Linked DNA regions of Caenorhabditis elegans. The protein of the gene in region 2 purifies or fractionates together with the protein of the main gene of each other region. This does not show direct contact. Each region holds a gene or a part of one and is shown on either strand. Other genes may lie near its edges. The genes, in order: ZK228.3 and irld-62.

Region 1 (5,598 bases), 3.1 Mb from region 2:
AATTTGTACCAAAATATTTTCTTTGTAAAGTTTTCCAATTCTTTTTAGATAATTTGGATTTATTTTCATGTGCCGTTCAAAATAAATATAATCATGGCATATTTCTGATAACTTTGAAATTTCGACAAAGAGAGAGCGCAGAGAAACGAGACACTCTCGCTTTCTGCGCCCTCTCTCTCTCTCTATGCGGTGGGTGTAAAAACGCCCGTAACTCTGTGTTTTTTGATCCAGGTACTATGATATGTATATTTTTGGAATCAGGAGACAATTTCGGTTTAAATGAAAACAATAAAAGTTTTAAAAAAAATTTTAAAAATTTTTGATTTTTTGGAAAAAAATTATCGAAAATTTTCGGATTTTCAAAATTTTTAAAAACAAATTTATTTTTGAAGAATATCGTAAATTGATTATTTTTGACAATTAAATGTTTAGGAAATTATTTTTTTTTTTGAATTTTTGAATAGAAAAAAGTGACGGAATTTCGATTTTTTTTTTTTAATATAATACTTTTTCTCAAAACTCGAGTAGCCGGCAAAATTAAAATTAAAGAATATATCACTATCAGTAAATCGGCATAAATCTGAAAATGGCAGGTTTTTGATTTTTTCTAATAGAAAAACGAAAAAAAAATTCAAAAAAAAAGTTTTACTCCAAACTTTAAAAATACAATTTAAAAAATTTGAAAAAAATACAAAATTAACCAAAAATTTCAAACAAATTGATGTGTAGAACAGGCAACGGAGTACACCACCCCATCTCGGGCTTTGATCACATTTTTCGTAAATTGGGTACGGAAATCTTTTTTTATATGATATCCATCACTTGGGAGCAACTTTTGGAGCAATCTAAAAGTTTTTTTTATTTAAAAATTTTTTTATTTTTTTAAATAATTTTTTTATTTTAATTTATTTTAATTTTTCAAAAAATGTTGGACTCGGCCTTTTTTAACGTAATTTTTCAAATTCAGCATGCCCTCCCGGTCAATTTAAGGATAATCATGACATGTTTCTGATAACTTTGAAATTTTGGAGAGCCCAGAGAAACGAGACACTCTCGTTGTCTGCGTCCTCTCTCTTTTTCAGTTGGGCGCAAAAACCACCGTATCTCAGCGAATATTGCGGTGGGACCCATGTTGAATATATTTTTCAAAATCAGAAAATTAAGACAAATTGATTGAGTATATTTTTGAATGTTTTTGAAAAAAAAATTTGCGACATTTTTGAAATTTTTTCAAAAAACTTGATTTTTCAAGCAAATTTAACAATTTCTTATCAAACATTTATCTCCCAACATACCTCTCCACATCTTTATTAACATCCGGGTACCAGAAAATCAACTTCTCAAAACTTGCAAAATCCGGAATACTTTTCATCATATCCGCCATTAAAACCTCCGCAACTTCCACATTTTCAGCATAAAACGGTGCAGCGCAAAGCCGGTTTAGGTTGACCACTCGGATAGTACAGTAACCCACAATTTTCTGGTTGCTGTCAAATGCGATCTGGAAGAAGTTTTGAAATTTTGAAAATTTCGGAAGTTTTTCGGTTTTTGGGGGTCTCGCCAGGAAAAGTTTTGGGGTACAGTAGTTTTTGATAATTTTTTTCAAAATTTTTATGGATTTAGTTTAGAAATGTATTTTGTACATTTTGAATGTAAAATACGCTTATATATTGCATTTTAACAATGTTATAAAATTTGAAATTTTGGAAAAAATTCTAAAACTTAAAAAAAAAAAAAAAAAAAATTAAAAAAAAAAAATTTTTAGAGTCCCGCCAGGAAAAGTCTTGGGGTACTGTAATTTTTCATGATTTGTTTCAAAATGTTTTTGAATTTAGTTTAGAAATGTATTTTGTACAATTTGTATGTCAATTTAGCTTATAGATTGTATTTTGAGCAATGTTATAGTTTTTGAAATAATAATAATATATAACAATGTTATAGTTTTTGAAAAAAAAGAGTTTTGGAAAAATTTATAAAATTTTTCTAAAAAATTTTGAAGTCCCGCCAGGAAAAGTCTTGGGGTACTGTAGTTTTTGATGGTTTTACTAATATTTTTTTAGACTAATGTTAATTAATGTATGTTTTGCAAACTGTATTAAAAATTAGCTTAATTGCTATATTTCAAAGGAAGTTATGAATTTTTGAAGATAACAAAAAAATTTCCTTAAAATTTTTTTGGATTTTTTTCCGAAAATTCAACAAATTCTGGGGCTCATTTTTTCCAGATTCATTTTAAATATTTTCTGCCCGAAACTCACTCTAGTATAAACCTGATCCTGTTGAAACCAGTTTCTCATGAGTTTCTTGCGATTTCGGGTGCAAATTGTTAGGTCATAGGCTTCTAGCTGAGCTTCACCCACCTCTTTCCAGTCCTGAAAACTTGTTAATTTTAGAATTAGAGCCCTATTGGGTTAAAATTTGAATTGAGCAGATTTTTCTGATCAGTTTGAGTATAACTGTGATGACAATTTTGAAAATTCGAAAAATTAAAGAAAAAAATTAAATGAAAATTTTTTTGAAAAAATTTTTCCAAATTTTTAAAACTTTTTTTTCAATTTTTTGGTTTTTTAATTACCCAAACAATTACGTTCTTACTCAATTTTCATACCTTTGTAACATATTTCTCCGTCAAATCCGCTGAAATTCTCATTTTTCCCGGCTCAATTTCTGCTTCCATATGCCAAAACGGGAGCATTTCCTTGAATCCAAAAGTGGTGGCGTACTTTTCAGACATGTCCACTGCTGAAAATCTATATGAATGTAAGAGGAAACTGTGAAAATCAGAAAATTAGAAAAGTTTTAAAAAATTCGAAAAAAAAAAAAAAAAAAAATATCAAGATTTTTTTTCCAAAAATTAACAAAATTATACTCATTGTGACCGTCTCAATTTTTTGATTTAAAATTTTCAATTAAATAGCTAAAATTGACCCACCAGCTGTCAGAACGCAATTTCCGTCCCCCACAATACCCATCATCGCCTTGAAAACCGGCAATCCGTGTCCTTTCCCACGATATTCTTCCTTACAGTAATACAGACCAATTGAGTAGAGTGAAGCCTCATTTTCAGCATCCCACCGTGCCAAACACCCGCCAGCAACAAAGTTTTCATGGGGTTCTGAAAAAATTTTTGGGGAAATTTCAAGTTTTCCGCAGTTTCCTAGTTTAAAATTGGTGTTATCCTATTACTCTCACCGAAAAAAAATATTTTGCCCGTAGTGGGGGTCGAACCCATGACCCTTACACTGTAGCCATTCATGTTAGCCACTGCGCCAGCGCAGACAGCTAGAGTGTCTCGTTTCTCTGCGCTCTCTCGAAATTTCAAAATTATCAGAAATACGTCATGATTATACTTAAAATTACCGGGAAAACCTGCTGAATTGGAATTTTATAGTTGAAAATCAAAATGGCGAGAAATAAAAAATTTCCAATTTTTTTAAATTTTTTAAAATTTGTTATGTTTTTAAACTCACTTTTCTCCTTATCAACAACTGCAATAAACCAATATTCATCAAAATTTTCCGAATAAAATCGATAATCATATGGTTGATGAGCCCAGCCATTGAGCTCCCCAGATAAGTTGATAAGTTGGTCGAAAACTTGTTGCGGTGGGTTTATTACTAATTCCATTGTGGTGAAAATTCTGAAATATTATAAAAAGTGATACGAAATATGAGAAAAAAAAACGAAAAAAAGATGTTAGAAAATTTTCAATTTTTTTTTATTTTCGAAAAATTCAAAAATTTGTATTCTAATTTTTGCAAAAAATTTAAAATTTCAAAATAAATGAAAAAACAAATAAAAATCGTTGAAAACTACAAAAAAGTGATCATTAGACTCAATTTGCCCTTATCAGTCTCACAATCAGAAAAAAAAAATCATCGAAAAGATCTAATACAATGATAAGATTTTATGTGATCGGTGACCTTTGACCAACTGATAAAAAATGCTATAGACAGAAGAAACATAGAAAAAGTAAAAAAAAATTGCGGGAAAAAAGTGCAAAGATTCAGTGATGATATTTTGAACTTTACACACTATTGCAATGATCAGAGAGATTGTGCAATTTTTCGTGATTTTCATTTTATCAGTGATGCAATGTGCCTTTTTCTCATAGAAATCTCATTATTATACCTTACAAAAATTACTTTAATATCCCTACTTATCACGGAGATATAGGAGTTTTAAGTTTGCGGGCTCAAATTTGAAAGTTTTGGAAAAATGGGTCGCGTTAGCTCAGGTGGGTAGAGGGATGGCGTCGGGGCAGAGGTCCGGGGTTCGAGTCCCCGGTGGGGTATTTAATTTTTGTTAGGAGCTGCGAGTTTATTCAACAAAAAAGTTTTGATCAGAAGTTGGAAATTTAGGTATTTTTCACCAAAAAATTCTGAACATGAGCAAATAATTTGCTCCAATGTTTCCAGATCAGAAAATCAACCCAAATTTCAGATTCTCCATGAAATTTTAATGCTTAAACACCCAGCATACCACTAGTTTTCTCAAATTTAAAAATGGGTCGAAGTGGCTCAGGTGGGTAGAGGGATGACTATGGGGAAATGGGTCCGGGGTTCGAGTCCCCGAGAGGTAAATAGTTTTTGTTCGGTTTTTTTTTTGAACTTGTTTAGTGTAAAATTTCGGAAAATTCTAGATAGTTTTGTTTTTTTTTGAAATTTTATTTTTTATTTTTCAACCTTTTCAGTATTAGCTACTTTTTTTTCACTTTGGGCTTAATTTATCAGTTCAAACACTAAGGTTTCGCTAAGATTACCCAATTTTCGATCACTATTGCACAATATTATCACACTCTCATCGGATATAAAGTCATTCGATTTCCAAACTTTTTTAGCAGTTTTTCCAATTTTTCTCGTGCTTTTTTCTACAATAAAGTGACGGTATAAAAATCAAATCACTAATTTTCTTATCATTAGTGATAATAAGGGGAAATTCATTGAAACAATTGCCATTTTGGTCGGGGGGAAAATGATGAAATTTTCAGTTTTTTTGCGATAAAAGCTACGAGTGTAGTAGTTTTATGCACATTATTGGCAATTATTGAAATTTTAAGAATTATTGATTTTTTTTTCAAAATTTCAAAAAATCGTTTTTTTTTTCGAAAATTCCTAAAATAGTCAATTTTCATCCGTTTTTGCTCATTTTTTCTGTATTTTTCATCATTATTTTTTCTAATTTTCAGTTTTTTCCACTAGTTTTTTATAATGGAGTTAGTGATAAACCCACCGCAACAAGTTTTCGACCAGCTCATCGACTTGGCCGCAGAAACTAACGGCTGGGCTCATCAAGCGTATGATTATCGATTTTATTCTACGAGTTATGATGGATATTGGTTTGTTACGGTTATTGATAAAGAAAAGGGTAAAGTTTAAATAAGAATTTGGAATTTTGTAAAAAAAAATTTTTTTTGGGAATTTTGAAAAAAAATTGTTTTTTTCAAAAAATCGAAAATTTTAAAATTTTTCGAATTTTATCAAATTGATACAATTTAGAACCGCCTTAAGCTTGCGGTTTCAAAATCATACAAATTAAATCTCAAAGTACAAAACTGACAGAGTTACGGTAGATACACTTGCCGGAGAGACGCAGACA
Region 2 (4,024 bases):
GTGAAATATTGTTATTCATGTCAGGTTTATAAGAAATTAGAAGAAAATTGTGTGCAAAAAACTCTGATGGAAAGTTTAGTTGTTTGAGAGAAATTAGAAAAGTCACCTGTTCAGAGAACTGGGTTTCCAAGAGCAGTGCTTATTTTCAGAATTACAATTAATTTTTGGTTTTCATGGATTGAAATTCGTGGGTGTCTCACTTTTACAAGAAATCACGACTATTTGAATTCGCAGCAGACATCTTGCAGGTCATATGATTTTTACAACTTTTAAGCTAGGTTTTAACGCAACTTTTTCCTGGAACTGTATGTGCACCACACTACTCCAAAACTCCAAAGCCAAAACTGGGAAGTATTTGAACTTGTGTGACTCGAAAAAAATATCTTTCTAATAAGAAATTTAGCGGCAGGGAAGCATTTGAAAGCAAAATTTTTAAAAGCAAAATTTCAAATCGACTCTACTCCAAAAATAATAAAATAAATTACTCGTAGGCCTAGAATGAGAAAAACAGCGAAAAACAAAACAAATTTCGAATTATACTTTTCACTCAATGGTTAAAAGTGAATTAATTCTTGGAACATGTCACGAAAAAATTTAGAAAATCACCGTGGCTAAGCAGACTAAAAATGACGTTCGGCATTTGGTTTTCGAAGTTCTATGTATGTCGGTGATCTTTTTTCGATGTTACAAAAAAAATAAATAACCTTTTAGACAGTTTATGATTTTTGGCTGGTTACAATAAATTTACACATTTTTTCAAACTTAGTGAAATCAGGAATTTACCAGTTAAGAAGGTTAAGACCTTCTCTCATTACTCCGGTTAATAACATATAATTTTAGTTCGGAGCCGAAGAACAATTTGCTGCTACATTTGAAGAAAGGACGTAAAGGAAGTTTTCGTGAGTTTTTTCCCGTTTGTCAAAAGGTTGGCGTTACATTTCAGAATGTGGTTATGCTACTAGACATTATATGTCGAGAATCGGTTTTTCTTAATCTAATTTTTCATAACAAAAATCTATTTTGGCTTCCTAACTTACTGAACACAAATTTGCTGTTTTACTTGTTTTACTGACCAATGTGCCTTTGGAGAAATTCCACGTATGAGCTCGACACATTTGCTCCGTCTCTTCTTCATCCGCTTGCTGTAATTGAGATTCCAGTTCATTTGCTAGCCGCCTATATTATAATATTCAAAACTCCGTCGACAATGACTTCAGTTAAATGGATGATGATGTTGCTTCATCTTTGGTAAGAATTTTGTGTAAAAATCCTAAACATTAGGATAGTTTTTTGATGTGAAATCTTTCATATCTCATCACCGAATAATCTTGGTTCACCAAGTTCAAACCATAATTTTTTTCAGCCAATCTAGACTCGGAGTATTCCCGTGACTTTGAAGCCTGATTGTGGACCGAAGTCAATTGAGGCCAGTTTGAAAGTCTCCATTAATCCTTGGATGGAAGTAAGTATGAGCCATAGCTGTCTGGAGTCAGGTGGTTTACTCTCGACTACTCCAGACTGGCTAATCTGGTGTCTACCAGTTTCGCGTGATCGAAGTTGGGTGATTGCTATTCTTGTTGATATTATGACCTTACCACGCAATGATGAACAACTCAATCCTGGACACGTGGACCACATCGCCAACCTTGGAGGGATTGCCCGAATCAGTGCTTACTATATAATTGTTACCGTACGTGTTCTATTAGTGTTACTACTGTTCCGTTAATAAATGATTGTAGAGTCACCGTTGTTCTGTTAGTTAAGTTAGATAAAAACACTGAACCGCACTAAAAATCAAATGAGGGTTTGCCAATTTTTTACGGTTTCAGTGAACTTTGAATTTTAAACTGCATTATTGGAGTTGCAAAAAATAAAAATTGTTAGATTAATGTTCTTTGGTTTTAAAGTATTTTTTCATGAAAAATATTATAGTTTGTTCAATTGTCTAATTACAAAAATGTCAAAGGCAACAAAAATTACACCTGCCTTAATTTTCGTCTTGCTCATTACTCAAAGTTTCCCTACACATTGAAGTATGAAAACTTTTATGTTTTGCGTAATTTTGTTGATTCCCAAAGTTGGTTCAACCATCGATGACTTGAATGATATGAAGTATATTGAAGAAACCGAATCGTTTTTCAGGGAGAGATGTGGTAAGTTTACACAATGTTGTCTTAACTGCTGGTTAAAAAAAAATATTTTTTGATGAAGCCGCGCTTGACTGTTTTTATGGCTCCAAACTGAGAGAAAAAAATATATATATTTGATAAGAAAATAATAACAGAATCTTTTTTCCTATTCCAGAACCTCAATGTATTTACACCGCGAATCTTTACAACAATCGCTCTGCTATCCCTGGCCTATTCACATCTGAAATGGTTGATATTTTCCCTAGACAATGTACAAAAGTTTGTTGTGAAACAATTATTAAAGCCGAGTCTAATGTATCAGAGGAACAGTTAGCAAGAACATTTCAAAACGTGAAGCATTTAGTTGGCAGTTTGCATGTATCATTTACAGAGTATGAGAGTTTAAAGTTTTTAGAAAGTCTGGAGACTTTGGAATGTGGTACGTTTTAAATCAGCTTGTATGAATTATTCTTTTTTATTTCAGGAGATCGAGAGTTTCTATGGGAAGACAATAAAATGAATGATATGGGACTCACTAACTTGACAACTGTTATATGCGCTGACTTCCGTATTTTTAACAATTTCAGAATGAACAAATTGAATTTGCCGAATTTGATAGTAATTTTGGTTCACCTAATAGTAAAACTAATGAAACATTCTCTTCCAGAATATCGTGCCAAGAGATGCTAATGGTTCAAGGATCAAAGTTTCAATTCTTAGTTCCATGCTAACAACTGATGTGACGATCCAAGAAGCTATGACCTTCCTTAGCAATCCTGATGTAGACTTTGAAATATCACAAGTGGATTTTATTAATACAAAAACAGACACCTGCAATGTGGGTAACGGTATTCCTGAAGGATGTAAGCACGTTTTTGGTGATTTGAAAATCGGTCAGGATAATGAGCATTTGGTAAGCAGATTGAAATCAGTTGAGGTTTTATTTGGAGGCCTGCTAATAAGTCGAACAAGCTTGACAACTATTGACTTTTTTGATAATCTGAAATACATTTTATTGCACACTTCGTCGATGGGTGCGTTTTTTTTTTCAAAGTATTTTAAAGATTTATCTCAAATGAGAATATATTACAGAGGAAGCCATTAGAGTTGAATACAATGTAAACTTGACAAATTTTTTATTCCCCAGTTTGAAGGTAAATCAGATAATTCTACCACTTGAATGCCAACATTTCAGCGAATTTATCCAACTTCAACCGTATACAGTAAATTCATTGCTCATCATGTAGTTTTCTCTAATAATAATAAGATTATTTCAACTGATCCAATTTATTGTGATCAATTCGAGCATGTCTTGAATGTGAGTAATGTAAAGGAATCTTTCGATAAGAAAAGTTGTGGTTAGTAGGTTTAGGAGGAAATTAAGTTGAGATTGTTTTTTCAGAAAAAATAAGACAGGAATACAACAATAGCGTGTCAAGATTTGGATGGACACCAACAATTTTAATATTGCTGACAATTTGTAACTGTTTTTGATTTTTGAAAGAAAAACTACATGTTGGAAGTTGGAAAATAAAATTTGTTATTGTGCTCGATGTCATTTTTATTTTCAAACGTGTTTCAAAAATCTTTGAAACACAAAATTGTGGAGCGCAATTTTAACGGAAAAAATGTAGATTTATTTTCAGAGAAAATAAAAAAGGAAACAATGTTCATGATTTTTGCGGTTTCAATGATGTTGTAATCAATATGCTAATAGTAAGATTGCGAGTTAAAGTGAAGCCCAAGCCTGCACATAGTTTTCATTTAAATGATCTGATAATTAAGCCCCGTAGATAGTTTTATATTCATCAAGTGATAAACATGTTTGGTGCTACTGATATGTTCACTTTCGAAGGAAACATTGAACAACTCATTTTTCAAACTGTTTTACGGAT

What was found.
Region 1: the proteins of irld-62 (region 2) and ZK228.3 fractionate together in Caenorhabditis elegans (co-fractionation; one large-scale study listed by BioGRID). This does not show direct contact.

The regions. Positions count from the first base shown.
Region 1 is NC_003283.11:18,457,605-18,463,202, forward strand, and holds ZK228.3 (YitH/HolE acetyltransferase (GNAT) domain-containing protein), read right to left. Parts: upstream 3,647-5,598; 5' UTR 3,628-3,646; coding exon 3,471-3,627; intron 3,116-3,470; coding exon 2,933-3,115; intron 2,743-2,932; coding exon 2,609-2,742; intron 2,373-2,608; coding exon 2,259-2,372; intron 1,502-2,258; coding exon 1,296-1,501; intron 846-1,295; coding exon 710-845; 3' UTR 637-709; downstream 1-636. Other genes in the region: ZK228.4 (N-acetyltransferase domain-containing protein), read left to right, coding at 5,211-5,367.
Region 2 is NC_003283.11:15,309,045-15,313,068, forward strand, and holds irld-62 (Receptor L-domain domain-containing protein), read left to right. Parts: upstream 1-2,035; coding exon 2,036-2,153; intron 2,154-2,304; coding exon 2,305-2,568; intron 2,569-2,613; coding exon 2,614-2,747; intron 2,748-2,796; coding exon 2,797-3,163; intron 3,164-3,221; coding exon 3,222-3,283; intron 3,284-3,324; coding exon 3,325-3,492; downstream 3,493-4,024. Other genes in the region: srz-10 (Serpentine Receptor, class Z), read right to left, coding at 1-19.